Linked DNA regions of Macaca fascicularis. The protein of the gene in region 7 interacts with the protein of the main gene of each other region in a pairwise test. Links are inferred from orthologs where the notes say so. Each region holds a gene or a part of one and is shown on either strand. Other genes may lie near its edges.

What was found.
Region 1: the proteins of FXR2 (region 7) and FBP1 interact in binary tests that used the Homo sapiens proteins (3 or more experiments, as listed by UniProt). The two-hybrid records come from large-scale screens. The link is inferred for Macaca fascicularis from reciprocal best matches to the Homo sapiens genes FXR2 and FBP1.
Region 2: the proteins of FXR2 (region 7) and PRAM1 interact in binary tests that used the Homo sapiens proteins (3 or more experiments, as listed by UniProt). The two-hybrid records come from large-scale screens. The link is inferred for Macaca fascicularis from reciprocal best matches to the Homo sapiens genes FXR2 and PRAM1.
Region 3: the proteins of FXR2 (region 7) and PCBD1 interact in binary tests that used the Homo sapiens proteins (3 or more experiments, as listed by UniProt). The link is inferred for Macaca fascicularis from reciprocal best matches to the Homo sapiens genes FXR2 and PCBD1.
Region 4: the proteins of FXR2 (region 7) and nucleoside diphosphate kinase A interact in binary tests that used the Homo sapiens proteins (3 or more experiments, as listed by UniProt). The link is inferred for Macaca fascicularis from reciprocal best matches to the Homo sapiens genes FXR2 and NME1.
Region 5: the proteins of FXR2 (region 7) and SCEL interact in binary tests that used the Homo sapiens proteins (3 or more experiments, as listed by UniProt). The two-hybrid records come from large-scale screens. The link is inferred for Macaca fascicularis from reciprocal best matches to the Homo sapiens genes FXR2 and SCEL.
Region 6: the proteins of FXR2 (region 7) and LCP2 interact in binary tests that used the Homo sapiens proteins (3 or more experiments, as listed by UniProt). The two-hybrid records come from large-scale screens. The link is inferred for Macaca fascicularis from reciprocal best matches to the Homo sapiens genes FXR2 and LCP2.

Annotation. Positions count from the first base shown.
Region 1 is NC_088389.1:128,465,593-128,468,580, forward strand, and holds part of FBP1 (fructose-1,6-bisphosphatase 1), read left to right. Parts: intron 1-219; coding exon 220-339; intron 340-2,988. UniProt on the Homo sapiens protein: Catalyzes the hydrolysis of fructose 1,6-bisphosphate to fructose 6-phosphate in the presence of divalent cations, acting as a rate-limiting enzyme in gluconeogenesis. Plays a role in regulating glucose sensing and insulin secretion of pancreatic beta-cells.
Region 2 is NC_088393.1:9,191,200-9,195,416, forward strand, and holds part of PRAM1 (PML-RARA-regulated adapter molecule 1), read right to left. Parts: intron 2,928-4,217; exon of another isoform or gene 2,858-2,927; coding exon of another isoform or gene 2,831-2,857; intron 2,498-2,830; coding exon 799-2,497; intron 713-798; coding exon 646-712; intron 90-645; coding exon 13-89; intron 1-12. UniProt on the Homo sapiens protein: May be involved in myeloid differentiation. May be involved in integrin signaling in neutrophils. Binds to PtdIns(4)P.
Region 3 is NC_088383.1:75,543,870-75,548,583, forward strand, and holds the start of PCBD1 (pterin-4-alpha-carbinolamine dehydratase), read left to right. Parts: upstream 1-1,726; 5' UTR 1,727-1,776; coding exon 1,777-1,779; intron 1,780-2,212; exon of another isoform or gene 2,213-2,461; intron 2,462-4,412; coding exon 4,413-4,544; intron 4,545-4,714. UniProt on the Homo sapiens protein: Involved in tetrahydrobiopterin biosynthesis. Seems to both prevent the formation of 7-pterins and accelerate the formation of quinonoid-BH2. Coactivator for HNF1A-dependent transcription.
Region 4 is NC_088390.1:55,546,183-55,550,223, reverse strand, and holds the end of nucleoside diphosphate kinase A, read left to right. Parts: intron 1-1,179; coding exon 1,180-1,281; intron 1,282-2,312; coding exon 2,313-2,425; intron 2,426-2,883; coding exon 2,884-3,001; 3' UTR 3,002-3,192; downstream 3,193-4,041. UniProt on the Homo sapiens protein: Major role in the synthesis of nucleoside triphosphates other than ATP. The ATP gamma phosphate is transferred to the NDP beta phosphate via a ping-pong mechanism, using a phosphorylated active-site intermediate.
Region 5 is NC_088391.1:68,554,509-68,559,174, reverse strand, and holds the start of SCEL (sciellin), read right to left. Parts: upstream 3,071-4,666; 5' UTR 2,952-3,070; intron 1-2,951. UniProt on the Homo sapiens protein: May function in the assembly or regulation of proteins in the cornified envelope. The LIM domain may be involved in homotypic or heterotypic associations and may function to localize sciellin to the cornified envelope.
Region 6 is NC_088380.1:177,056,425-177,060,387, reverse strand, and holds part of LCP2 (lymphocyte cytosolic protein 2), read left to right. Parts: intron 1-1,252; coding exon 1,253-1,347; intron 1,348-1,957; coding exon 1,958-2,035; intron 2,036-3,584; coding exon 3,585-3,740; intron 3,741-3,963. UniProt on the Homo sapiens protein: Adapter protein primarily involved in signaling pathways within T-cells, as well as other immune cells such as platelets, mast cells, and natural killer (NK) cells.
Region 7 is NC_088390.1:7,663,905-7,668,755, reverse strand, and holds the start of FXR2 (RNA-binding protein FXR2), read left to right. Parts: upstream 1-1,542; 5' UTR 1,543-1,907; coding exon 1,908-1,988; intron 1,989-4,851. UniProt on the Homo sapiens protein: mRNA-binding protein that acts as a regulator of mRNAs translation and/or stability, and which is required for adult hippocampal neurogenesis. Specifically binds to AU-rich elements (AREs) in the 3'-UTR of target mRNAs.

The DNA.
Region 1 (2,988 bases), on a different chromosome or scaffold from region 7:
TACTGGGAGATGGTGAGACGCTGTCTCCGTTTTTCCATTTTCTGTGTCTCCATTTTTCCATTTTCCATTTATTGGGAACAGGATTCGAATCCATTTTTTAGCACAGCCCCAAGTACACACCTTGTAGGTGCTTGGTGAATGGATGTGGGATCAAAGAAACTCAGGGACACAAAGAAAACTCTGTCTTATTTGCTAATTCTTGCTGGTCTTAACGTGCAGGATAATTCAGCCCCCTATGGAGCCCGGTACGTGGGCTCCATGGTGGCCGATGTTCACCGCACTCTGGTCTACGGAGGGATATTTCTGTACCCTGCTAACAAGAAGAGCCCCAGCGGAAAGGTAAGGGTGTCCTTTGGAGGGGGAGTGAGGAGCAGATTGCACTTGCAGCCCACACGATTTGGTTTAGGAAGAAGAGAGTTTTGCGAGCTGTTACGCTCCATGCTACGTTGCTACGTGTGTCTGTGGCATATTCTTTTGCGGATTAAAGGTAAAGCCGGATGATATCAACTAAAGATAAAAATAGTCTCTTGAGAGCCCTTCCAGTGCTATGGCAAAAGAGAATGAATCTCTTTTGAGATCAGACGAGAATGAATCCTCATCCTGATGAGGACTGAAGGGCTTCCGGTAGATACATGGCTTGGCTCAGGCAAAGTGAATTCCATTCATAAAGTGAAATGAAAAAACCCAGCCTCACTTCCAAGGCAGTGGATCAAATATGTATCCTCAGCAGAAGGTGTAAAAGGTGTGAAACAGGTCACTAGTGAGTCAGCATCCGCTACGGGGAAAATGATACCTTTTAGGGAAACAATCTCTGGGGAAGCCTAGAGCTTCCCGGTGAGCCGTCACCACCGACTCACTAGTCCAAGCCCACGGCGTTCCCAGCAGGCTGCAGGGTGGCTGTGCTCCCCGTGCGCACTCAGAGCCTCCCTGCTTTCCTTGTGCTCCCCGTGCTCACTCAGAGCCTCCCTGCTTTCCTTGTGCTCTCCGTGCTCACTCAGAGCCTCCCTGCTTTCCTTCTGCTCCCTGTGCTCACTCAGAGCCTCCCTGCTTTCCTTGTGCTCTCCGTGCTCACTCAGAGCCTCCTGCTTTCCTTGTGCTCCCCGTGCTCACTCAGAGCCTCCTGCTTTCCTTGTGCTCCCCGTGCGCACTCAGAGCCTCCCTGCTTTCCTTGTGCTCTCCGTGCTCACTCAGAGCCTCCTGCTTTCCTTGTGCTCCCCGTGCACACTCAGAGCCTCCCTGCTTTCCTTGTGCTCCCCGTGCTCACTCAGAGCCTCCTGCTTTCCTTGTGCTCCCCGTGCGCACTCAGAGCCTCCCTGCTTTCCTTGTGCTCTCCGTGCTCACTCAGAGCCTCCTGCTTTCCTTGTGCTCCCCGTGCACACTCAGAGCCTCCCTGCTTTCCTTGTGCTCCCCGTGCTCACTCAGAGCCTCCTGCTTTCCTTGTGCTCCCCGTGCTCACTCAGAGTCGCCTGCTTTCCTTGTGCTCCCCGTGCTCACTCAGAGCCTCCCTGCTTTCCTTGTGCTCCCCGTGCGCACTCAGAGCCTCCCTGCTTTCCTTGTGCTCTCCGTGCTCACTCAGAGCCTCCCTGCTTTCCTTGTGCTCCCCGTGCGCACTCAGAGCCTCCCTGCTTTCCTTGTGCTCCCCGTGCTCACTCAGAGCCTCCCTGCTTTCCTTCTGCTCCCTGTGCTCACTCAGAGCCTCCCTGCTTTCCTTGTGCTCCCCGTGCTCACTCAGAGCCTCCTGCTTTCCTCGTGCTCCCCGTGCGCACTCAGAGCCTCCTGCTTTCCTTGTGCTCTCTGTGCTCACTCAGAGCCTCCCTGCTTTCCTTGTGCTCTCCGTGCTCACTCAGAGCCTCCTGCTTTCCTCGTGCTCCCCGTGTGCACTCAGAGCCTCCTGCTTTCCTTGTGCTCTCTGTGCTCACTCAGAGCCTCCTGCTTTCCTCGTGCTCCCCGTGCGCACTCAGAGCCTCCTGCTTTCCTTGTGCTCTCCGTGCTCACTCAGAGCCTCCTGCTTTCCTTGTGCTCTCCGTGCTCACTCAGAGCCTCCTGCTTTCCTTGTGCTCCCCGTGCGCACTCAGAGCCTCCTGCTTTCCTTGTGCTCCCCGTGCGCACTCAGAGCCTCCTGCTTTCCTTGTGCTCCCCGTGCGCACTCAGAGCCTCCTGCTTTCCTTGTGCTCCCCGTGCTCACTCAGAGCCTCCTGCTTTCCTTGTGCTCCCCGTGCGCACTCAGAGCCTCCTGCTTTCCTTGTGCTCCCCGTGCGCACTCAGAGCCTCCTGCTTTCCTTGTGCTCCCCGTGCGCACTCAGAGCCTCCTGCTTTCCTTGTGCTCCCCGTGCGCACTCAGAGCCTCCTGCTTTCCTTGTGCTCTCTGTGCTCACTCAGAGCCTCCTGCTTTCCTTGTGCTCTCCGTGCTCACTCAGAGCCGCCCTGCTTTCCTTGTGCTCCCCGTGCTCACTCAGAGCTGCCCTGCTTTCCTTCTGCCAGGGTGACAGTGCACTTCCTTCCCAAGTATTGTGTCCTTCCTATGTTTTCCCAGTGGACAGATGGCTTTTTAGACAGAGGCTTACTCGTCACCCAGGCTGGAGTACAGTGGCATGATCTCGGTCCACTGCAACTCGCCTCCTGGGTTCAAGTGATTGTCCTGCCTCAGTGTTCTGAGTAGCTGAGATTACAGGTGCCTGCCACCATGCCCGACTAATTTTTATATTTTTAGTAGAGATGGGGTTTCACCATGTTGGCCAGGCTGGTCCTGAACTTCTGACCTCAAGCGATCCACCCGCCTCGGCCTCCCAAAGTGCTGGGGTTACAGGCATGAACCACCACGCGTGGCTGCCTTTTTTTTTTTTTAATGCAAGAGGAGAACAGGAACAACAGGCCCCTTAAACTAGTTGGAAACCTGTGTATTTGGATGTATTTGGGTCTGTTTGTAGCAGGTGGCATCCAGAATGAAGGCATTTCTATTTACTGGAACCATCATCCAGCCGTAGCTGC
Region 2 (4,217 bases), on a different chromosome or scaffold from region 7:
CCACCAACAAACCTCTGCCCTTGGGGCTGGGGCTGGAGTCATCTCTGGGTTCCACGTCGTCATACAGCTCGTAGATCTCATCTGGGATCCTGCGGGGATACCTGAGATGAGGCCTCTTTTTTTTTTTTTTTTTTTTTGAGATGGAGTTTTGCTCTGTCACCCAGGCTGGAGTGCAGGGGCGTGATCTTGGCTCACAGCAGCCTCCGCCTCCCGGGTTCAAGCGATTCTCCTGCCTCAGCCTCCCGAGTAGGTGGGATTACAGGTGCCCCCCACCACGCCTAGCTAATTTTTTTTTTTTCTTCTGAGATGGAGTTTTGCTCTTGCTGCCCAGGCTGGAATGCAATGGCATGATCTTGGCTCACTGCAACCTCTGCCTCCCAGGTTCAAGCAATTCTCCTGCCTCAGCCTCCCGAGCAGCTGGGATTACAGGCATGCGCCAGCACGCCCAGCTAATTTTGTATTTTTAGTAGAGACGGGGTTTCACCATGTAGCCCAGGCTGGTCTTGACCTCTGACCTTAGGTGATCAGCCTGCCTCGGCCTCCCAAAGTGCTGGGATTACAGGCGTGAGTCACTGCTTCCCGCCGAGATGAGGCCCCTTTGAGCCCCACAATCTGCACCCACCCCAGCTTCCTCCCCACACTCACGGCGGGATGTCTTCAGGCTGTCGGGGCTGGAAGTGGAGCGCAGCGGCCGAGCGGGTCCTCCGTAGATCTGTGGGGTAGAGAGTGCGGCAGGGAGGCCGGTACTGCCTGGGATCTCAGCCCCGCCTCCTGCCGGTGCCGCCCGCCCTCACCCACCTGTGGATGCTGCAGAGCGTCTCCGAAAGCTCTGCATATCCACGGGGCCCGGGGGCAGCGGAGGCTTGGCTGGAGGGGGTCCCAGGCTGCTGGCAGCGGGCAGAGGCCTCCGCCGGGGTGGATGGCTGGGTCTGAGGCCTGGCCTGGCCCCTCCACTGTGAACAAGGCCTCCTGACCTCCAGCGCCGTGTCCCAGCAACTCCAAACCCAGGGCTGAGCGGGTGCCGGGAGCTGGAGCCGGCCACGGCCGCAGGCAGTGAGCTCTCGGAAGCGGAGCTGGGGAGTAGAGGCTTTCGAGGGAGATCACCGAAGAACTCAGGCTGCGGGTGTCTCTTGAGGACAGCGTTGGGTTCAGGCTGTGAGAACTTGCGGGGTGGCCCCCGGCGGTCCGGCTGCAGCAACTTCCTGGGGAGGGAGTTGAACTCGGGCTCTGACGAGGTCCTGGGGAGGCCGCCCAGCTCGGGCTGCGGGGGCTTCTTGGAGAGCGCTTTGAATTCGGCGGGCCGCGGCCTCTTGGGAAGCACGCTGACTTCGGGCTCTGAGGAGGTCCTGGTGAGGTCCCCAAGCTCCGGCTGCGGAGGCTTCTTGGGAAAGTCACTCAGCGGAGGCTGGGAGGCTTTTCTGGGAAAGGCGCTGGAGTCGTGCTTCGGCTCACCGGACTGAGGCTTCCAGAGAGGAGTCTGAGCCGCCTCGCTGAACTCAGGCTGCGGCACGGACTTCTTAGGGAGGCCATCCGCCTGAGGCTGCGGGGGCTTTCTGGGGTGCACACTGAACTCGGGCTGCACCGGCTTCTTGGGAACGCTACTGAAGTTGGGCTTCGGGGAGTGGGGGAGGGACTCAGTGGCCTCAGGCTTCCAGGGCGGTGTCTGAGGGACGTCACTGGACTCAGGCTTCGGCAGGGACGTCTTAGGGAGGCTACCGACCTGAGGCTGTGGGGGCTTTTTGGGGTGCATGTTGACCTCAGGCTGCGCGGGCTTCTTGGGAAAGGTACTGAACTCAGGCTGCGGGGGCTTTGGGGTAGCCTCACTGGCCTCGGGCTGCCAGAGCTTCCTGGGGAATGCACTGGATTTGGGTTCAGATGGGGGTCTGGCGGGGTGACTGAGCTCGTCGGACTGCTGGGGTTTCCGGACAGGCGTATTGGGCTCCGGCAGCGAGGCCTTCACAGGGGCCTCACCGACCTCAGGCTGCGGGGGCTTCCTTGGAAATGGAGTGGCCTCCAGCTGGGGGAACTTCTTGGAGACGTCACTGAACTCCAGTTTGGACGGCTTCTTGGGGAGGTCAGTGAACTCAGGCGGCGGAGGCTTCTTGGGGAGGTCAGTGAACTCAGGCGGCGGAGGCTTCTTGGGGAGGTCAGTGAACTCAGGCGGCGGAGGCTTCTTGGGGAGGTCAGTGAACTCAGGCGGCGGAGGCTTCTTGGGGAGGTCAGTGAACTCAGGCGGCGGAGGCTTCTTGGGGAGGTCAGTGAACTCAGGCGGCGGGGGTTTCTTGGGAAGATCAGTGACCTCAGGCGGCGGAGGCTTCTTGGGGAGGTCAGTGAACTCAGGCGGCGGGGGTTTCTTGAGGTGCTCGCTTAGCTCAGGCTGTGGGAACTTCTTGAGTTTACTGAACTCAGGCTTCGGGGGTTTTTTGGGCAGGTCGCTGGGCTCCGGCTGAGAGGCCTGGAATTTTGCTTTGATGCTCCGGAAGTCCTGATGGCTCTCCTAGGAGACATACAGCCAATGAGGCAGGGGCTCAGACACACAGAAGGGGCATGGAAGGAAGGGACTGGGGACCCTCAGGCACAGCCCACAACCACCACCCCTGCACCCAGGCCCCATCAGCCCTCGGCTCTCTTTCTGAGGAGCCCCCATTGATCCTAGGATCCTGGAACCCACACCCCTCCCTACTTCTCCATTTAGTGCTGATTCCACACCCAACCTCCTCTAGCAGGAGTGGAACTGCTGACATCCCTCCTGCAGCCTCCAGTCCCACAGCCCTCCCCGCATGGGTGGTACCCCAACCCCCCAGCCTCCTTGACCCCCTCGTTCTTTCACCCCCACACTGCATGTCTCCAGTCTCATTCCATTGCCCAGGCTGGAGTGCAGTGGTGTAATCACAGCTCACTGCAGCCTCCAACTCCTGGGCTCCAATGATCCCCCAGCCTCCCGAGTAGCTGGGATTACAGGCTTGAGCCGCCACGCCCAGGCCTTGTTGTCCCTTCTGTGCTAATTTCAAAACACATCCGGAATCCAACCACTTCTCACTGCCTTCACCGTTGTCACCCCAGGAGGTAGTGGGAGGCAGCGTCTGCCCTCCCCCAACCAACTGCCTGGATTATTCTAACAAGCCCTTCCCCAGTCACTGCCTACCCCCCTCCCTGGTCAGTTCCCCCCATGGCAGCGGGAGGGAGAAGCCTGTTGAGCCCTGAGTCTGTTTGTGTCTCTCTGCTCAAAACCCGGCAATGCTTCCTCATGTCCCTGTAGTTCAAGCTAAATGCCTCATAAAGGCCTGGGCGAACCAGCCTCCCCACCTAGCCACCTCCTCCTCCCTGCACCCTGAACACTTCCCTCTGACCTCGGGGCCTCTGCCCTGTCCCTGACCCAGGACATGTCCCTGCACTACCTGGTTCTCTCCTCTTCCTCCTCCCAGTCTCTGTTCTCATATTTCCTTATTAGAGAGGCCGTCTGAGGCCACCCTATTTTATTTGTTTATTTTTACTTTTTTGAGATGGAGTCTTGCTCTGTCACCCAGACTGGAGTGCAATCCGTGATCTTGGCTCACTGCAATCTCCACTTCCCAGGTTCAAATGATTCTCATGCCTCAACCCTCTGAGTATCTGGGATTACAGGCACCCGCCACCACGCCTGGCTAATTTTTGTATTTTTACTAGAGACAGGGTTTCACCATGTTGGCCAGGCTTGTCTCAAACTCCTGACCTCAGGTGACCGCCCGCCTCGGCCTCCCAAAGTACTGGGATTACAGGTGTGAGCCACCGTGCCAGGCCTAGATCACCCTATTTTTCTTTCTTTTTTCTTTTCTTTTTTTTTTTTTTTTTTAAGACGGAGTCTCACTCTGTCCCCAGGTTGGAGTGCAGTGGCGAAATCTCAACTCACTGCAACCTCCGCCTCCTGGGTTCAAGCGATTCTCCTGCCTCAGTGTCCTGAGTAGCTGGGATCACAGGTGTCTGCCACGACGCCTGGCTAATTTTTTTTGTATTTTTAATGGAGACGGGGTTTTACCATGTTGGCCAGGCTGGTCTCAAACTCCTGACCTCAAGTGATCCGCCCACCTCAGCCTCCCAAAGTGCTGGGATTGCAAGGCATGAACTATCACACCTGGCCTAGACCACCCTATTTTAAATGGATCACCCCATCCCACTACTGCCCTGTGTAGTCAGCATACATGATTTTCCCCATCGTACCCACCCCATGTATCATACTA
Region 3 (4,714 bases), on a different chromosome or scaffold from region 7:
CTATTAGCCTGACAAAAAATAAAAAGCTGGCTAACAGGAAGTGTGAGTATGTATGTGTAAGGTGCATATGGAAATAGTACCCCCTCACACTGTGCGGGCGAGAATGAGGACTGGTGTCCCCATTCTGGACATCATCTGGAACTATTTTGAGATACACACCCATGCGGGAAATTGCTGGATTCATAGGGTATGAATATACTTAAGAAACTGCCCACAGCCCCGGGAGCTATTAGAGATGTTCACTACAGCAGCATTGTTGTTTAACTCTGTGTGTGTATGTGTGTGTGTGCCCACATACTCACGGGTTTGGGAGGTGGTGGTAGCAGCAGAAAGTTGGAGGGAACCTAAGTATCCATCACTGATAGAACAAGAAACCACGGCAGACTCTCATTACAAAATACTAGGCCGCAGTTAAAAGCTACAGATTGAATATACATATAGCGACATGGGTAGATCTTAATTTTCCACTAAATACTCTGTTTTGTAAGAAACAGACTGAGAAATGTAATATATTTACATAATACCATTTACATAAATTTAAAAATACATATAGACGAAACAACACCACACATTTTGCAAGAACATGTGCAAACAAAAATACACATTAACACATTAGAGAGGCTGCTATGGGCCGTGGCGGCGGGCGGGGGGGAATAAAAATGGAGTACAAGAATAAAAGGTAACAGAAAAAATGTAAAATGTGAGAGGACTTTTCTAACCTGACTCTAAGACTTATTATAAAGCTATAATAATCAAGACAAGGTAGCGTCCTGTCATGATGGACAAACAGATCAATGGAACAGAAGAAAGGGCTCAGAAATAAACCCACACATATATAATCAATTGATGTTTTACAAAGGTGCGAAGACAATTCAGTGGAGAAAGGAATAACTGAATCTCCATGTGCAAAAGTGAATCTGGATCTATAACTTGAAGCATACAAAAATATTTACTCAACGTGGATCACAGACTAAATGTAAAACCCAAAGCTCTAAAACATAGGAGAAAACTTTTGTGATCTCGTGTTAGGCCAAGATTTCTATGCGTACAACATCAAAATAGAAATCTATCAAAGAAGCATTTGATAAATTGGATTTCATCAAAATTAAGAACGTTTGCTCTTTGAAAGGCAGCGTAAGATAATTCAAAGAAAATATTTGAAAAGCACTGCCTGATCATGTCCTTATATCCAGAAAAAAAACACCCTCAAAACTCGGTAAGAAAACAAACAACCCAATTTCTTTTTTAATGGGCAGGAAATTCAAACATGCTATTCACCAAAAAAGACTTATCCTTAGCAAATAAGTACATGAAAAGATATTCAATATCATTAGTCATCAAGGAAACTTGATATGTTCATAATCTTGATCTCAGTGTCGGTCTCACGAGGGAAACATTAAAATTCATCAAATTGTACACGTTGAATATGTGCAACTTATTGCATGTCAATTCTATCCAAATAAAAGATTTTTATAAAGAAATAAATAGGTATTCTGGCGCCCAGGGCCACCCAGCTGTAAGCGGCGGGCTGGGATTCCAACCCTGAAGTGGGCATTTGGAGCCCTCATGCTTCACCCTAGCTCCCTGAAACAAGCTCGGAGGATTGGCTCTGAGCAGCGAGGAAAGTGCTGGAAGGAAGCAGGCCGAGCGCGTCCCTGGCTGGGGACGTTAATCATTACCGGAGGGCGGTCCGAGCGCGGCCCCGCCCCGGGACGGCCGCCTGCGCGCCCGGCCGCCGCCTGCCCTCTCCGCCGGCCACCTGCTGCCGCCCGCGCCATGGTGAGTCCAGGGGTGCGCCGCCGCGATCGGGGCAGCGGGGCCGGGGCAGCAGCGGGCGAGGTGGGAGCGGGACGGGGCGGGGGAGGGTCTTTTCGAGCCTCCTGCGGAGCCGCCGGGGTCCGAGAGTGGGGTCTCTGCCCGGGTCCCTGTCGCCGGCGGCGGGGAGGGGAAGCTGAGGCCCTGAGAGGGGCATGGCGGGTCCCGGTCCCAGCCAGTTGGGAGGCCAGGCCTGCCCTGACCCAGGCCAGTGCTTGTTCCCGGACCCTGCTGGGGGCGGGGCCTACGACCTTACAGGGCCGGGGAGGACCGTGGTGGGAGAGTCCGCAGATCTCGTCCCCTTAGTGGCCCGATTCGGCTTTATACTGGGGTGGGAGCGAGAGGCAGGCTGAGTTTGCGCGCTCCTGTGCGTACCCGTCCGCGCCCCTTCCCGCTCGCACTCTGGACACAGGGTCTGTCCGCCTGGGACTCATGCTCTGAGCCCGTGTGCAGTCCCGGGCTCCAGAGCCAGCCCCCGCGCCGGTTTGAGGCCCGTGCCCGGCCGCGGGGGCTTGGTGGCGCAGGAGCAGCCCTCCTCCCGGGCTAGCTTCCCCCACCTACCCCCGGGGCGGGGGCGGGCCCCTTGCTCTGATGTAAGCTCGGGAGCTTCATCAGACCGTTTCTGGCCCACAGGCCTTCGGAGCAGGCAAGACTGGGAGGGCCTTTTGATGGGAGAGGGACTTGGGGGAGGGAGGATGAGTGGGGCTGTTTGTGAGGGGCGCTGAGGCCCCCAGAGATGCAGGCTTGGGAAATCGGCGACCACTCCCCACACCTCGCCAGAGGAGGCAAGACCTGGCGGGGATTTACTAAGCAAACAGGGCACCGTCCCCCTCTCCAGAGCCGGCACCTGGAAGATTTGTCAGTTCAGCCCCAGGCTCTGCGACTTGGGGGGTTCCAGAAGGCTCTACCGAGAAAGGGAAGCCTCCTAAGAGCTCACCTGGACTCACCCACCCCTTTAAGAGCCAAGGAAGTAAACAGTGGGCTCTGATGCTTTGGCTGACTTCTGGTTGTCTGGATACACGGACCAGGCAGTCAGCCACGGGGAGAGGGCCAGCTCTGGAGTAGAGACCTCCCTACTGGGCAGATGATGCAAATCGCTGCTGCCATTCAATCCCTGTAGCCATCTAGAGCCGAGGAGAGGAGAGGGGCCAAGCTCCCTCAGTCCGGAGAGAGCTCACGTTTTCAGGAGGGAAACAGGAGGGAAAAAAGACGGACTTAGGAAAGCACTGCGATGCTTCAGCTACCACAAATGCTACCAGGCCCATCACAAGCCTACTTGCCTTAGGAGGTATTTTTTTGTAATGCAGATGACATTTGCTTTATAGCAGTGGAGTTTCCTAAAGTGTCCCATTGGCACCTCATGATGATCTGTGGAGGTAGAGGTTCTGCCAAGAGAGGTACAGCCACCTGGCTGGTAAATGGTGAAAGCGGGGCTCAAACTTCCTGCCAATCAACACATGGTGTTCAGTCTGCAGGCTGCCTCATAAAAGCTAAATTAACCTCCCTCACATTCCCTCCTCACCCCTAAGTATTTCTTTTCAATTCAGCACTCTATTTCTGCCCTGGGGTGGTGCTACTCTAGAAGCCTAGGTTCTGGGATCCGTTAAGGTCCTAGACCTGGATCCTCCTAGGATGAAACTGACCCTTGCTTCCTTGCATTCTCTGAGGTTCCACTCATGGCCTGAATTGTGCCAATTTGGGCTGCGTTGAGGGCACTTTGCACATTAGGTAAATAGGACAGGGCACTACGTTTGCCAGCTGCCTTTGGCCAAGTTCCTTCCACTTTGGGGACTGAGTTCTGTGGCCTGAGCTTCCCAACCAGCCAGAAAAGCAGATGGAAAACCGGAGAACCTAGCCCTGGCGGCTCAGGACCAGAGGCTGCCTGGGAGCATGACTGAGGACCTACTAGAGGTAGTGCCAACACGGTCAGCTACAGTGTGGCTAAGAATGGGCTGGACACTTATTTTAAATGCAGCTCCTTTGTCCAGCCCCAGGGATGCTGACACACAGACAACACTGCGCCATCCCTGGCTAGGGGAGGGCAGGAAAGAACAGCAGACAAGTCGTTTCCCCTCTCTAGGCCTGTTTGCTCTTCAATACACATGAAAGTTACCGTAGGGACGTGGGGTGCATATGATAAAGTACATAATAGGAAAAGGAAGGGGGGACAGGCATGGTACTCTTCCTCAGAGGTTGTGGAGTAATATATTTGCATCTGGGATTTATTTTGCTTTTACGCCCTCACTGATGTAATAGATCTTATGGAGGGGAAGGTCTGTAAGGCTTTGAGGGCAGGGTAGGGGAAGAGTGTCTCTGTCCCCGTCATATGAATTGCATTGCTTTTGGGATTTCCTTTCTCTGTGTGGAGTGTAAAACCCAAGACCTGAGAGCCTATCAGCGGACAAGCCTGGACCCCACCTCCTGGGCAGAGTGCCACCCTTGAGGGCTTCCAGCTTATTGCTCAAAGACCTGCTGCCCTTGGTCACCCACGTCCAAAGCAGCCAGTGGAGGCTGGCTAAGTTCCCCTAAAGGCTGGAGCCCCTGTTTTGACCTATAAAAAGAAATGCTCTTGGGCCTCGTTTTTTCCCCTCTTCTAGGCTGGCAAAGCACACAGGCTGAGTGCTGAGGAGAGGGACCAGCTGCTGCCAAACCTGAGGGCCGTGGGGTGGAATGAGCTGGAAGGCCGCGATGCCATCTTCAAGCAGTTTCATTTCAAAGACTTCAACAGGGTATGGCACCAGGGCGGGACAGAGTTTTCTGAGACTGAGGCTGATGGGGTCACCTTACAAAGCATGTTCTGTCCCTTCACGTCTCGTTAGCCAAGACTCTGAGACCCCACACTCATCCAGTTATTTGGATAACTGTGCCGGGGGGGATATTTATTTTCCTGCCTAACTCA
Region 4 (4,041 bases), about 48 Mb from region 7:
ACCTCGGCTCACTGCCAGCTCTGCCTCTTGGGTTCATGCCATTCTCCTGCCTCAGCCTCCTGAGTAGCTGGGACTACAGGCGCCCGCTACCACGCCCGGCTAATTTTCCATTTTTCAGCAGAATTATGTATTGCTAGATGTCATTTACTTTTGGGTGATTTGCAGATACCTTTGGGAATCACACGGTCATCACGCTGGGCTTTTATCCTCTGAGTAAACGTGAAGCATCCCTGGGTAATGGCCTGGTTTAGTTTGCTGCTCATCAAATGCCAAGACTTGCTCCCTGGTGTCCTTCTAACATTTTATTTGGGGTTTGCTCTGGGAATGGAAATTTATTGTATTGTTGATTTTCCTGCCTAAAATGAGATGGTTGAGGGCCAGGCATGGTGGGTCACGTCTGTAAGCCCAGCACGTTGGGAGGCCGAGGCTGGAGGATCACTTGAGTCCAGGAGTTTGAGACCAGCCTGGGCAACATAGTGAGACCTTATCTCTACAAATAATTTTTTAAAATTAGCCAGGTATGGCTGGGCGTGGTGGCTTACGCCTGTAGTCCCAGCATTTTGGGAGGCCGAGGCAGGCAGATCACCTGAGGTCAGGAGTTTGAGACCAGCCTGGCCAACAACCCTGTTTCTACTAAAAATACAAAAATTGGCTGGGCATGGTGGGCGGGCATCTGTAATCCCAGCTACTTGGGAGGCTGAGGCAGGAGAATCACTTGAACCTGGGAGGTGGAGGTTGCAGTAATCAGGATCGCGCCACTGCACTCGAGCCTGGATGACAGAGGGAGACTCTGTCTCAAAATAAATAAATAAATTTTAAAAATTAGCCAAGTCTGGTAGTGTGTGTCTACAGTCCTACCTATTTGGGAGTCTGAGGCAGGAGGAACACTTGAGCCCAGGAGTTTGAGGTTTTTAAAAATGAGATAGCTGAATTTAATTTTAATGTTCTGTGGTTTTATTATCAGTCAATGCCAATAGGGAGACAATTGATATAAAATTGGAGAAGTACTTTTAGTCCTGTCACTGCTCCCTTCCAGTGTGGAGAGTGAATTGGGTTATAACAGAATCAGTGAGCCCAACCACTCATGTTTTACATAGCAGGGTGGATGAGGGGAATTTACATGGATTGTATGTTCTTAGATGGTTTGGGGCCATTCTCATTCTCCGTCCTGTTGAATAGGCCTCTGAAGACCTTCTCAAGGAACACTACATTGACCTGAAGGACCGTCCGTTCTTTGCTGGCCTGGTGAAATACATGCACTCAGGGCCGGTAGTTGCCATGGTGAGTGTGCCTGTGTGAGATACTCCAAGTATGCATTGCTTGTCGTCTGCGCTAGGCTCTCTTCTAGACACTGGGGATACAGTCATGAGTGAGACCAAATAGATATCTATTTTCATATATCAGCTAATGGTTAGTGATAGGCCCAGAAATGAATAGGAGTAGCAAGTGATCACTTTAGAATGGATGATCAAAGAATGCAAATTTTAAGCTGTGATCTGAATGACAAGAAGCAGCCAGCTATGTACAGAATCACAGTGAAAAACATTTCCAGCCAAGCAAACAGCATGTGCAAAGGTCCCAGGGTGGGAATGAGCTTGGCTTTTTGAAGTATGGGAGGAGAATTGAAATGCCCGAAGCCTGATGGGTGGGAGAGAAGTTGGGATGTGAAGAGTTCAGAGGCATGGGCAGGGGCCTCCTCTCTTAGGGGTGTGTTGACCATGTAGTTCCTGAGTGCTGGGAAGCTATGGGACACTTCACACTTGGCCTTTTTTTTTTTTTTTTGAGATGGAGTCTCGCTTTGTCACCCAGGCTGGAGTGCAGTGGCACAATCTCGGCTCACTGCAAGCTCCGCCTCCTGGGTTCACGCCATTCTCCTGCCTCAGACTCCTGAGTAGCTGGGACTACAGGTGCCCACCACCACGCCCGGCTAATTTTTTTGTATTTGTAGTAGAGACGGGGTTTCACTGTGTTAGCCAGGATGGTCATGATTTCCTGATCTCGTGATCCACCCGCCTCAGCCTCCCAAAGTGTTGGGATTACAAGTGTGAGCCACCGCGCCCTGCCCACACTTGGCATTTTAAGGAGGCTGCTCTGGTTGCTGAATGGAGAGTACATTGTAGAAAGGCAAGCATCAGGGCAGGGAGACCAGGATCCCTAGTGCTGGAATAAGTGGATACTCTAAATATTTGTTCAGTGAATGAATGTCATCTTAAGGGGCCTTTTTATTTTTTCCTATTTTTGGATTAATAGTTGCCAGATTTTCTGCTGAGATGGGTTTTCTTCTTTGACCATATCTTCTTCTGTCCTTGGAGGTCTGGGAGGGGCTGAATGTGGTGAAGACAGGCCGAGTCATGCTCGGGGAGACCAACCCTGCGGACTCCAAGCCTGGGACCATCCGTGGCGACTTCTGCATACAAGTTGGCAGGTGAGATTTTGCTCTTTTTCCCCCTTTTCCAAAATCTGATTTAGTTGCCACAAGGATTTGGGTTTCTGAGGCTGGAGGTAGACATGATACCATATGCAGGTTGATTTTATCGGAGTTTATTGTTTTCCTCCCCCTTAAGTTGGTGTTTGGCTTTGGTTTTTAAAATCACTGTAGTTGTACCTCCGTTACACGAAGTGTAGAACCTGGTACAACACACTTTGCTGGCCACAGTCTTTCCTGAAGGCTCTTACTGTTTGCACCAGTGTGACCGGGAGGGCTGAATGTGGGGAGGGCATTTTTCACCCTTACATGAATGGCCATTGTAGGATTTTTCTTTTAACATGGTCTAATGTCCATGGAGCTTCAGCTTTTATGCTGCCGTGGCTGTAGATTTCTGGCAATGGGCGCATTTTAATCCTTCTGGTCTTGGTCATGTGACTGTCTCTTTCTCCACCCAGGAACATTATACATGGCAGTGATTCCGTGGAGAGTGCAGAGAAGGAGATCAGCTTGTGGTTTCACCCTGAGGAACTGGTAGATTACATGAGCTGTGCTCAGAACTGGATCTATGAATGACAGGAGAGCAGGCTACAATGCTTTCACATCCATTTCTCCTCCTTCCCATGGGCAGAGGACCAGGCTCTAGGAAATCTAGTTATTTAAAGGAACTTCGTCATAATTTGGAAGGAAGCTCTTGGAGCTGTGAGTGCTCCCTGTACAGTGTTACCATCCCCTACCATCTGATTAAAATGCTTCCTCCCAACTTAGGATTCATTGAGTTGGTTACTTTGTATTGTTGTATTTTTTTTTCTTCTTTTCATGTACACTGAATAACCTGACCTAATAGAGAATGTAAATACTATAAAAATTATTTATATTGAGATCTCACATACACACAGGCATTCTTTGCCTGCCCTTCTTAACCCCTGCGTCCCTTCCACTCTTGGCACGGAGCTACTCAACAGGCATCTATGGAGCATCTGCTACATGGCCAAGACTGGACTAGGTGCAGAGGATTCATCAGAAATAATACATGAGGGCTGGGTGTGCTGGCTTGTGCTTGTGATACCAGCTACTTGGGAGGCTGAGGTGGGAGACTAGCCTGGGTAACAGAGCAAGACCCTGTCTCACTAAAAAAAAAAAAAAAAAAAAAAATTAGGCTGGGTACAATGACTCATGCCTTTAATTCCAGCTATTCAGGAGGCTGAGGGGAAGAATCGCTAGAGGCCAGTACAAGTCCAGCGTGGGCAACACAGCAAGACACTGACTTTACAAAAAAAAAGAAAAATTAGCTCTGGTGCTGTACACCTCTAGTTCTACCTATGGGGAAGGCATAATAGGCAGGAGGATTGTGCCCGGGAGTTCAAGGCTGCAGTGAACCATGATCATGCTACTGTACTTCAGCCTGGGTGACAGAGTGAGACCAGTCTCTTAAATAAAAACATATCCATCCTGTTCTTGAGAAGCTCTTGGGGATTCAGTGAATGGGGGAGTGTGGGAAGTTGTAATTCCTCCGAAAATCAGAAAAGCTAGGTAGACAGTAGGCCTGGGTCCCTGGGATGGCCTCAAATGAAGCAGGAGGTCTTGTAAGTAGCTTTGATTTGTTAGGATATTGA
Region 5 (4,666 bases), on a different chromosome or scaffold from region 7:
TACAGACAAAGAATAAATTATTTAGATTTTTAGAGCTCTCAATTATACTATTACAATGAGGATTCAGGACGATCAGTTCTTGTATCTAGAAGCAAACCAGTTGTCATTTAATAGATAGCTATAAAATTCACTCTTCCAGTTAAGTATTACAATAAAAAGATGACTCATATCCTTAAAAAATTTAGTAATCAACATGAAATGAAAGTCTAGTAAATGTAGCTGTCATTTGGCAAAGCATCCATGTAAGGAAGAGCTTCTCCCAAGCCCCAAAATCACAAGTTCGTGGAAAAATCACAGTTTACCATTTGTACAGTGGTAAGCTGGAAACACTTAAGGAATATAACTGATAAAGACTTTTGATTAAGGCCAGGTGCATTGGTTATGCCTGTAATCCCAGCACTTTGGGAGGCCGAGGCGTGTATATCACCTGAGGTCAGGAGTTCGAGACCAGCCTGGCCAATATGGTGAAACCCCGTCTCTACTAAAAATACAAAAATTAGTCAGGTGCACACGTGTAGTCCCAGCTACTCGAGAAGCTAAGGCAGGAGAATCACTTGAACATGGGAGGCGGAGGCTGCAGTGAGCCAAGATCGTGCCATTGCACTCCAGGCTGGCAAAAAGAGCGAGACTCCATCTCAAAAAAAAAAAAAAGCAACAACAAAAATGACTTTTGATTCAGAAGTGAACTTGGAACAACTCCAGCTATGTATGCAGCAATTAATATATAAAAATCTTTATTTCAAAGTCCCTAGCCAGAGCAAATGGAAAATGATCAACAAATGGTCTAGAAGCAGGATAATGACAGAAAGTGAAGCCAAGTGAAACCAATAAAGATTTCCCTTGGACTGCAGGGCCAAAGATTTGATCCCCTCACTCTTAAGAAATGGTGGGAGTTGATGCCTGAACCATATAGGATGCTCTCAGTTAAACAATGTTTGCTTAAGTTGACTGCTTAGTTCATTCCACAGTATGAGCTCAGTCATTCAAAACATATTCTTTGTTTTGTTTACATAGTCCCCAGGAATATGAACCTCTCAGGTATTTCATCATAATTCTGGTAGTCTGAGAAGGCAGTCAGGTAAGCATCACCTACAGAATGGCATTCGGGGCGAGGGTGTTCTGATTGTACAGACCACAGCTAACACACATACATCAGATCCCCTCCCTGCTGAGGGGCTACTGGATCCTGAGATGAAAATCTCATAAATATAATAAATGGCAACACTGATTCCACAAGCCACAAGTTGGAAACATATGTCTATGTCTTCCATTATGTCTTAGTCACACCATACACAGTATAATATTTCCACATATTGCTGGATAACCACAGTCTGTGATGGAGTGTGGTTCGTTTATTGCTACTACATATTTTATAATAAAAAGTATTTGAAAAAAATATTGAGAAAATTCAGTAAGACAAAAGACAAGCAATTTGGCTTCATGTTCTGGTTCTGCTACTCTGATCTTCACAAGTTACTTAACATTTATGCTTTGTTTTTCTCATCTAGAAAATTCAGGCATTAGACTAGATGGGCCTATGCTCCATTTCAGTTGAAATATTCAGTCAATTAGATCTAAGATTTACACGAAGCTAACATTCCAATAAAAATTCTGACCTGTTGTTGGCATTCTCTGCATATCCCAACATTTAGGATCATCTGAATGTTTTACTAAAATTTTTACTGTTGTCATTTCTCAGTTTTCTCAAATTGATGTTTCTGATACTTTAAACACTGGAGCACCGCAAATATTAGGAAGGCTATATCTACGTTATAAACTGTGGAAGTGAAAGACAGTTTTAAATGTAATCACATTTTATGAAAAATAAAATTACCCACACATGCTATGCTTTAGTTTTCTGGTTACTATAAACACTTGAAAGCCAAGTTATAAAATTCTTCGGTAAACCTCTGGGAAATGAGCACTGAGCACTGGTGTGCCTAAACCCCTCTCAGACTGCAGGTGACCTGGTCAGCAATAGGAAGCCATGAGAACTCAAGTACTAAAGATAGAGCCAAGTATGCTGTGGGGGCGCCTCTCTGGAGGACACAGACCTGCAATTTGCAAGCTGTGAGTGGCCCCTGCATTTGAATTCCACAGCTCTGTATCATAAATAGAAATGATTAAAAAAAAAAAAAAAACACAAACCAGACAAGTCAGCTTAACTATTAATTACAAAAGAACTCTTCTATCCTTACCAAAAGTCTCCCAAAACTGGTTTTTCAGGACTAGGCTATGAATAAAGTTTGAAAATTGCCCCCATATATATTAATCACTCCTTAGGTTAGAATGCAGAATATACTGTAGAGAAGTTGGCCAGATGCCCACAGATCATATATACCCCTATTCTGCCCCCACACCCTGCCTTTACTCCTTGGTACTTTCAAGTAAGAAATGGCAATTTTCTTATTTGGGGAAGATAGGGTGGAGACAAAAACCTCATAAAAATAAACCTCTCTCTCTCATAGCTCAACAACTTGCAATATTTTTAGCAGTAGAGAAAAAATATGACTTATTAACTATAAAGCAATATTTGAGTTCACTATTTCACTAAAAGCATCATTTATGAAAACAGAAAGTTCCTTTAAAAAATGTTTGTATAGTCACTTGAGAAAATAAACCAGCAGGTGCTGGTCCCTTCGCTTAAATAATTTATTATCCTTTGTGTGGCAGGATTCACCAGCTGACAGCTCCCACCCAGAAAATCAAATAGGTGCTCATTTCTGTGATGCCCGTAATGTGTAAAGTTGCCAAGAAGTTCAATGCAATGTGGCCTAAAAGTACAGCAAGGAAGAGCAGAGCTAACAGTCAGCTGGAGGCTGTCAAAATTTATAGGAAGAAAAGACAAAGATAATACTGTAAGTTCTAATTTTAATCATTTGAAAGGAACACAGAGAAAGCTGTGCACATACAGCAGATGTATTTCTGTTTGCAAGTATAATTCAACTTACCTCTATTGAGCAGAAAACCAGGACTTTTTGGCTAACCGGCCTGTAGTGATTCCCTGGGAGGATCTGACTGAAAGAAATGGGAACCTAGAGTTTATTCAGTGGAGTCTCAACCTCTACCTGACTGTATTAATGAACAGTTCAGAGGTTTCTTTCTCAGCGGCTGAGTCACTCAGGGAGGAGGTCTGTGGTATGCAACAGGGTGTCACCTTGTACAAATACCAGTTCAATTAAAACAGTCTCACTCGTGAACCTACGGCCTTTGTTTGGTGAATTCTTTAACTTACGGCCTTGTTATGCAAATATATATATATATAGATACGCTCCTGTGATTGCCCTTTAACTGATATCAACAATATGCACAACCATATCACTGACAAGGTGGCATAGGACCCAATCTATTTTGCATTCTCTTTCAAAAAATAAAACTGAAAACTCAATAGAAGGAACCCCCATATGCCCACAGTACCTGGAAGGCAGGGGCACAGACAAGCATGCAAGGAGTACATGGCTTAAAGGAAACTTCAAGACAAACAAGTTCTCAAAAACCCAGGAACCCTAGGATCAGAAAACACGAAAGAAGTCTGTTCCAAACATTCTACACCTAGAATATTTTGTAAAACTATCAAAGGGAAAATACACCTAGCACATAAGAATTCTAATCTCTATCTTATTTATCCATGTATAAAAAAATGTGAAAAAGGGCCAGGCGTGGTGGCTCATACCTGAACTTTGGGAGGTGGAGGCAGGCGGATCACCTGAGATCAGGAGTTCAAGATCAGCCTGGCCAACATGGTAAAATCCTGTCTCTACTAAAAATACAGAAATTAGCTGGGTGTGATGGCGCACACCTGTAACCCCAGCTATATTTAATAACAGTAACATACCATGATAAAGTCATAGACAGAAATTTTCAATGCCAGGCATCGCATAGGGGAGAGAAGGAAGAACCTGGAAGGTGATGTTGATGCAGAGTTTTAAAGTCTTAGTAGACAGTGATTAGATGGTCAAGAAGAACCATTCATCCACTCTGGCAGGAGGAGGCAGGAGAATCACTTGAACCAGGGAGGTGGAGGTTACAGTGAGCCAAGATTATGTCACTGCACTCTAGCCTAGACAACAGAGTGAGACTCTCGCAGAAAAAAAAAAAAAAAAAAATGTGAAAAGGATGGTTGAAACTTCTCTCATAACTGAGGGCAGCAGTAGACCCAATGTCAAAGGCTGCTTCTGGCCAGTTGCAGTGGCTTTCATTTGCACTTTGGGAGGCCAAGGTGGGAAGATCACTTGAGCCAAGAAGTTTGAGACAAACCGGGCAACACAGTGAGAGAGATCTCATCTCTACTGAAAATAAAATATCAGCTGGGTGTGATAGTGCATGTATTTGTTCCCAGTTACTCAGGAGGCTGAGGCAGGAGAGTCTCTTGAGCATGGAAGGACCAAGCCACAGTGAGCTGTGATCACACCACCGCATTCCAGTCTGGGTGACAGAGTGAGACCCTATCTCAATAAACAAAAAACAAAACAAACAAACAAAAACAAAGGTTGCTTCTACTGGGAGGAAGGAGTAGCACTGAAGAGCCATCCTAGGTGGGGACTCCTGTTACAGGTTTTGAAATGCAACTTCCGTAAGTGCCAAAGAGGCTTTGAGGAAGCTTAGCAAACCCAGAACATTGCTGAGAGAAGTCACGTCATCAGAACTTCCTGGGTCATCGTCACTC
Region 6 (3,963 bases), on a different chromosome or scaffold from region 7:
AGGAGACTTGTTTAGAAACAAGGAAGGACCATCATAAATAATCTTGACGATGTGGCTCAGGAGGCTTTAGCCCTTCCAGGTGACTCTCCTCTCCTCAGTGGTGTAACAAGGTAGACATAGTGACAATCCCTGGTGTAGAACCACCAGAAGTACTTGCTAACATGCAGATTTCTGGGCCCTAGGTGCTTGAAAGTCGCCCAGTGATTCTGACTCATGCACAGTAACATTTGGTAACCACAGGTTTAAGTTTTGGCTTTGCCACTGATAGCACATGATTTGCTTAGCCTCTGAGCCTGTATTTCCCCATATGCAAAATGAAGACAATACCTACCTTGTAATGTTGCTGTGAGGATTAAAAAAATGTACACACAGTACCTTACTCAAGATCTGGACAGAGTTGTACTGAATACATATTTGTTGAAGGTATGAATGAATGATGGATGAATAATTAAGAGAACATTCGACTCACAGAATTTTTCTGTCTTTAACCACAGCCTGGCACACAGAAAATACCCTGGGCAACCGCAACAAACACAACTAAACCTTTCCTGAGATTCGGAAACTTTTTCCTAAAGTTTCAAGGAATTGTAAATGAGAAAAAAGAGTTTTAGAGAAGATGAGACATAAGCGCTGGGTAATTAATAGGTGCCCAACACAAACTTCCTGATCTGTAGAGCCTTCTATGTGAGTTGAACAGTTCTACCTGTTCAGTTAGAACAGCAGGTAGCAATATTTGATTCTAAAAGCTAGCAATATTCTCAAGGTAATTTCATCTTCTCTTGGGTCACTTACATTTCTTTTTGTGGAAATATTAAGAACATAATTATCTTCATTACTGCCTGTCCCTACATCAGCTGTTGGGAATCCATTCTGCCTATGCTGAGATTATAAGAATCTATGAAAGATATGTCTCTTGAGCATTCATTTTAATGTTCACACTCATTAAAACAATTGTGAATTTTTTAGTAAAGGGATCTAGTCACTTTATATTATGCAACATGCACATTTAGAAAATCACTCCAAGTTGAGGTTCTCTTCTCAAAGTTTTACTGGCATGATTACAGAATAATGCCTGAGTAGCCTCCATGGTTTCAAACGGAAGAAAATTATTTTTGAAGCCCTGGTTTCTTAAAATGCTAACAGTAGGACCAACCGCAAGGGTATTTTGAGGGGGGGGGGGCGGGAATGTGTTTTGATAGCAGTAAACAATAGCTTACAGTAAATTAACTTTCAGAACTCTGTACTTTTGAAGGCCCTAGCAACAGAGCACCTATCAGAGCCGAAGGCAGAAACTTCCCCTTGCCACTTCCAAACAAACCTCGGCCCCCATCCCCCGCGGAAGAAGAGGTAAGAAAGTATATGTTTTTATTTTTGTTTGTTTGCTTTTTCCCTGGTAAAAGAATCACCAGAAACTCCCACTGAATGTTCTTCTATACTTTTATCTTCCGTTTGTTTTATTTTATTTATTCGAAAAAAAGTTAAAGGAGAAGATCCAGATGAACAATATGTTCTTTTTCCTTGGCATTCTTTCAGACTCTTTCAATGGCAAACGTGTGTTTTGCATTAAATGGCAAGAAAAATAATCCTGTTTTTTATGTTTATGACCTTGATTCATCACTTAACTGCTCGATAAACCAGTTTTTTTATCAAGCAGGTTATTATGCTAAACTGAAGAAATTACTGTATCTGCATCTTTCCTGATTAGAGGTTCCATACTGTAAGGAACACTTATTCACAGGTATTTTTGCAACCAGCGTCATGATAAAAAGCAGTTCACACAAAATGTCTTCTATTTAGCCTCAGCTAAATGACTCTGAATGCAAATTAAGAAAACAAATGTTTCAAACCTCCTGGAATTGAGGTGGTGATTTATGGAAATGATTACTCAGAAGCTTTTCTTTTCACTTACATCTGTAACTGTAAAATTTATTCAGTTTCTAAAAATTTACATTTTCAGAATTCATTAAATGAAGAGTGGTACGTTTCTTATATTACCCGACCAGAGGCAGAAGCTGCTCTTAGAAAGATAAACCAGGTATTGTGCTATAGTTTATTTTAACATAGTTATAAATATTAATGGCAGAGAAGGGAACTGACTTGTCCTGAGTACCCATTACAGGCTAGTAATTCTGCTAAGTGCTGTTGCTAACTGTGATACCTAGGAGACCCATTAGTGCCAGCTTCACAACTATCAGCACCCATAGCAGGGATTCCTAGGCTCGGGAATCATTAGGCTGGCAGAAGAATCTCAAGGCAGTCATTTGGCTGGCAGAATCTTAGGAGATTTGATTAATGAAAGAGTTTGTCTTGTCATACGAATCACACGGTGTCAGAAGGAGGCTCTCCTTCCCCCAAAGTTCCAACATGGTACCAGTTCTATCTTCCTCTTAACACAGATGTGCCATCCTTGTTGATGTGAAAGGACCGATATTAAAGAGACGGCAGCAACTTTTTGCTTTTTGCCCTAGACGTTTCTAGCTAGTCCTTTAATACATAAAGTCTTGAACATATCTCCCGTAGCCAGTGCCGACACTTTACCTTAAATTTATTTATCGGAAATGGGAAAGCAAAACTCTTTCATCTTTCACATCTAAACTCCACACCAGTAGTTCTCAGTAGTAGCTGCACATTTAAATCACCTGGAGAACTTTTGAAAAATCCCGATTCCTGAGTCTCGCCTTAAGATTCTAATTATTCTGGGGTGCTGTGTCAGCTCTGGAGTCTTCAAAACTTCCCAGGTAATTCTGATTTGAAGCCAAGACTGTGAATCACTGATCCAGAAGTATGTTTGTTTAGCAGAGATGTTCTGACAGGCTCAATTAACTTGCAATAAAACGAACAAAGGAAAGCCATTATTGCCAACTCATGGCTATTTAAAGCTATCCTGATTTGGTATGAGGAGAAGGGAGTAGTTTAAAGGAGTCCTTTCCAATTAATTCTATCTTAATATTAGATCTTTATAGCATTAATATTATGTAGCAATAATTTATTGAATGGAAATTTAAAGTACAGGACAATCAAAACAGTAGTTTAGCAAATATCAGAAAAAAAGAAAAGAAAAGAGAACATCTGCATTCAATTTTGTTCAAGTGTCTGATGAAGGAAAGACTATCTAGGGATCACAAGGTTTTAAGAAGGGTGAATTTCACGGCATTTGGGTCTTTTCTGACTTTGGATGTGGAAGAGAAAGGTTAGGGAATTAACTCACAGGAATAGTAGGAAGATATATCTTGAGTTAACCAATAAAGTTTTTTATTTCTCCTGGCCTTTTATCCACTCAACCACCCATTATTTATTAGGGAACAAAAGATTCCATTTTTATAAGAGACTTTAACGAGATTGACTCGGAAATTTCTCTGATACAATCTCTGTTGCCTTTCTTAACAACAAAATAACTCATGACACATGGGATCTGTAGCTGTGTGGAGAACTGAATGTTCGTTGAATGACGGGTTTTGCACTCAAGAAGCTGCAAAGTGCAACTGACATGTTTGTCAGATCCCTGGAGGCTGGTCTACTATTCTTGCAAGCAACAAAAATATTGACTTTTACTCTCCCATAATAACAGGAATTTATCTTTTTAGGATGGCACATTTCTGGTTAGAGACAGCTCTAAAAAAACAATAACCAATCCATATGTCCTCATGGTGTTGTACAAAGATAAAGTTTACAACATCCAGATCCGTTATCAGAAGGAAAGTCAAGTTTACTTGTTGGGAACTGGACTCCGAGGGAAAGAGGTAAGGATTTCAAATTTCAACATTTTCCCAAAGTCTTTTTTTATGCCACTCTGCATGCCTTCATGGAGCAATCTTTGGAAGTCCATGCTGTATGGCAAATTTAGAATTAAATCACATTAGTGAAGCCCTTCATTTATTGGAAGAGAAATAAAGCAAAATCTTTACAATGGTTACTTCTGCCATAGGATTCTTTCTTGTATATCTTTTATTCCAAATAATCCCA
Region 7 (4,851 bases):
TTTTTTTTTGTATTTTTAGTTGAGATGGAGTTTCACCGTGTTAGCCAGGATGGTCTCGATCTCCTGACCTCGTGATCCGCCCGCGTCGGCCTCCCAAAGTGCTGGGATTACAGGCGTGAGCCATCGCACACTGCCATTATTATTATTTTTTAAGTTTCACTCATTGCCCAGGCTGGAGTGCAGTGGCGTGATACCCGCTCACTGCAACCTCCACCTTCCTAGGTTCAAGTGATTCTCCTGCCGCATCCTCCCGAGTAGCTGGGACTCCTCCCGAGTAGCTGGAACTACCACAGCTGATTTTTTGTATTTTAGTAGAGACGGGGTTTCACCATGTTGACCAGAATGGTCTCCATCTCCTGACCTCGTGATCCGCCCGCCAGTGATCTCGGCCTCCCAAAGCGCTGGGATTACAGGCGTGAGCCACCGCGCCCGGCCTAATTTTTGTAGTTTTAATAGAAACGGGGTTTCGCCCTGTTGAGGCTGGTCTCGAACTTGGGGGCTCAAGTGATCCACACGCCTGGGCCTCCTAAAGTGCTGGGATTACAGGAGTGAGCCACAGCGCCCCCGGCCGAAACTATTCTACTATTCTTAAAACTTTCTTTCGTTTCTTTCTTTTTTTTTTTGAGACGGAGGCTTGCTCTGTCGCCCAGGCTGGAGTGCAATGGCGCGATCTCGGCTCTCTGTAACTTCTACCTCCCAGGTTCAAGTGATTCTCCTGCCTCAGCCTCCCGAGTATCTGGGATTACAGGCGCGTGCTACCACGCCCGACTAATTTTTATGTTTTATTAGATGCGGGGGTGGGGTGGTTCACCATATTGGCCACGCTGGTCTCGAACTCCTGACCTCAGGTGATCCGAGGACCTCAGGTGATCCACCCGCCTTGGCCTCCCAGAGTGCTGGCATTACAGGCGTGAGCCACCGCGCCTGGCCAAAACTTTCATTGTATCACAATCTCTTCAAGGCAAGAGCTATGACTTAAATCTACTACAGCACAGTTACAGATTCTTAAAAGATAGGCGATGCATGCGCGCAGACAGTAAAGCTCAGCGCGTGCGCACCGAGCACCTTTTTCCTTGCGGCGACTTCTCTTCTTTTTTTTTTTGGAGCGTGCGCACCAAGAAAGACAAAGGTGGGGAAAGTGACCAAGCAGTCGTTCAGGCGCATGCCCATCCCTAACTTGTCCGAGCCCGGTGGGGCCAGCGGCGGCGGCGTGGGTGTGGCCTGAGCGCTGTGTGACTGTGCGGCCGCCGCCCAATCGGACTGAGCGAGCCCGGCCCCTCCCTCCCTCTGATTGGTTGGTTCTCAGGGTTGTGGGGCGCGGAAAGGAAGAGACGGGGCTGCTGGGCGGTGGGGCGGTGGAGAAAGAAGGCTAATTTTGTTCTGCGCAAGCGCGAGCAAGCGACCAGGAGGGGGCGTGAGAGAGTGAAAGGGAATGTGGAAGCCCCGATGCGCTGGCTAGCGCTAGCTGGGGCTCTAACCTTGACGCCTGCGCCGTGGCCCTCGGGGCCCCGCGCGCAGCGGGCGGGTGCCCGGTGCGCCTGCGCAGTAGGAGGCGGTGGCAGGGGGAGGTGGAGGCTGTGGAGCGGCAGCGGCAGCAGCGGGTCCCGGGACTGAGGCAGCAGCGGGGGCGGCGGCAGGCGGAAGCTGAGGTGACGAAGGCAGCGGCGGCGGCGGCCGTTTCCCTCACGGTGGCGGAGACCAAGGCGGCGGCGGCGGACGGGGAGCGGCCCGGCCCCGGCCCCCTGCTCGTTGGCTGTGGCAGGGCCGCCGTGGGGCCGGCCCGGCTCCCGCCCCCCGCGGCTCCCCCTCCGGCTCCTCCTCCGGGGAGACGCCGGGGGCCTGGCCCGGCCCGCACTCAGACTGCTGCTGCAGCCGCCGCCGGGGGAGTCGGAGGCGGTGGCGGCGCCATGGGCGGCCTGGCCTCTGGGGGGGATGTGGAGCCGGGACTGCCCGTCGAGGTGCGCGGCTCCAACGGGGCCTTCTACAAGGTGAGACGGCGCGCCGACTGGGGACGCCGGTCCTTAGCCCCCTCCCCCGGCCGGAGCAGGAACGCGTGGGGCGGGATCGAGCTTCTGGAGCTGAGTCCTGGCCCTTAGAATCTTAGACCCTTGCTCCCACCCGCAGCCTTCCCTGAGAGACCTCTTGGAGTGAACCTGTTCCTTTTATTTTTGAGCCCTTTAATGCACCTGCTTCTACCCCCATCTCAGGGAGAATGAACTTCAGGCCATTATTGTCCCTGGCTTGGCGCTCCCCGCTCCCCAGGAGAGACCCCTTTACCCAGCTTCTAATTGACTGTTTCCGTTGTCTGATGGAAGACATACCTTAGACCTTAATCACATCTTCCCCACGGTCCAGGCACATGGAGAATTGTCTTTCTTCTGCACGGTCCCCTTGGGAAGGCCCCCTCTGTCCCATATCGGATCCTTTCATCTTCCTCAGAGAGGCCTCTGCCTACTGACTCTGGAACACTCACCCCACTTTCAGCTTATATTCCGGTTCCCAAGCCAAGGAGAAATGGTCAGATCCATTTACGACGTTTGGCATCTTTGACCTCAGGAACCCTGGGTTGGATCAGTCAAGTTGCTTCTCAGCCAGCCATAAGGTGGCATCTTTCGCAAGTCTTTCACCCCACCACACCTTGATCTCAAGGCCCACTGGTCTACCATTCTACTCAGAATGGATTTGAGGTCTCACTTAGACCTCAGATACCTTCAGGTCATTCTTAGAGTTTCTTCGTCTTGAGGCATGTGAGCTTCATAGTCATGATCTCTAAAAGGATCTCTAAAAGGAAGCTCATGGGGTTCCCTTCTGTTTTTCTTAAGATTTCCACTTCTTGAAGACTCTTGGCCAACTATCCCAGTTCGGGAATCTGACAACCTTTTTTGGAAGAAGGGATCATCTTTCAAAGACCTTTCCTTATTTGACCTCCCCCTTTGCCCAGGATTTGGTTCCTTAGAACTCCTTATAATACCACCTTCCTTATCTGCTCTGAATCCATTTTCTAGGACATTTTTTTCCCATTTGGATTAAGCCAGAGAGAACCCTTTCTTGCCTCCCAAGAGTTTTTCTTCGACTGTTGCTATTCTGAACCTCTTTTGGATTTGATGCCTGGAATTGTCCCAGAGACTCTCCTGATTTCTGTCTCATTCTTTGATTTCACCTTGGGGAGCTGTAGAAGAGATACCTTCCCATGGCATTACTTGTTAAGAGTAGATCCCCCTTCCCCCTTTCCTTCTGTTCCCCTCAGGCCTTTCCCCCCCACAGTAGCCCTCTCTAGTTTCTCATGCCCTTGGAAGTGTCTTTCTTTGACTCCTTCCCTAAGTCATATTTTCTGTAACTGTAGAGGGTCTTGTAATTTCCCTTGGGTGGTTTCTGCCTCTACTTCAGTTGCTAAGTTCATTGTAGTCTTTTTTTTTTTTTTTGAGACGGAGTCTGGCTCTGTCACCCAGGCTGGAGTGCAGTGGCACGATCTGGGCTCACTGCAAGCTCCGCCTCCCAGGTTTACGCCATTGTCCTGTCTCAGCCTCCTGAGTAGCTGTGACTACAGGCACACACCACCACGCCCGGCTAGTTTTTTGTATTTTTAGTAGAGACGAGGTTTCACCGTGTTAGCCAGGATGGTCTTGATCTCCTGACCTTGTGATCCGCCCGCCTCAGCCTCCCAAAGTGCTGGGATTACAGGCGTGAGCCACCGCGCCATTGTAGTCATTTTTTACTTACTCTTCATACTTACCCATTTTTGCCTTACTTCCCTCATCAGATTTCTTTCTGTGCGGTGACTTTGGGTACCCATGTCTAACTTACTGTCTCAATTCAAGTTTTTGGCTTTTTCTCCTAATACTTCTGTATTCCTGTGTAATCCCCAGGGATCACCTAATTCCCTGTCTAGCTGAAGGAAGCTCCCTGCTGATCTCTTTTGTCATTTTCTGCATACTTGCCTAACTCTTGGGACTTTTTCTTCTAGCCTGCCTCCATAGCATTTCTGTTTTTTTTGGCAAAAGTCTCTAATTCCTTTCTGCTTTTGATAGAGCACATTTATCTCTCATATCCTTTTCCCCAAACTTGCACTACCTTTGTTGAAATACGCCTCCTAAAGTGGCCCTCCCTGTTTCCCTCGGTATCTTTTCCTTCATCTGGGTCCTTACCACCCCAAAATTCTGAGTTCCAAGAAAAGTCATTCTTAAGTTGAGTCCAAGATCAAGATATGATGTTTGCTTTGTTCTAGGAAGCACAGGAGCCCTGCACAGCTGGGAAAGATTGGTATCCAGTTCAAATGAACTGTATGAGATGGCTGGGAAGGGACACGTTTTCTGTTCTACATATAAGTGTCCAGCAGAAAGTCTCTCTGAATCTTTTCCCTTTCTCCTGTGCGCTGTGGGCAATGATAGACTTGAGTACATGGGGACCAGGATACTCTGATTCAGAGAGTAGAGTCTGGGGTTGAGCTGAAAGCCAGGTAATGTGGTAATGTGGATCTGGGCAGGTTAGCATTTTCTGCCCCGTTCCTGAGTTAAAAACCACAAATCCCTAAATTCAGGCTAATCTTCCACTCTCAGTACCCTATAGATACTTATCCGTTTTGACCTTGCTGCTGATTTAATATTCATGACTCAGCAAACTTGGGATGGGTCAGGGAGTATTTACACTGCTTCTGGAAATGTACATTGGGAAGGTCCCTTTCTCCTCTCTCAGAATTGGGCCCTGTTGTCAGTTTTCTTTTCTTTCTCTTCTTTTTTTTTTTTTTAAATTTGAGACAGGGTCTCCTTTTGTCATCCAGGCTGGAGTACAGTGGCATGATGTCATCTCACTGCAGCCTCCGCCTCCCGGGTTCAAGCGATTCTCCTGCCTCAG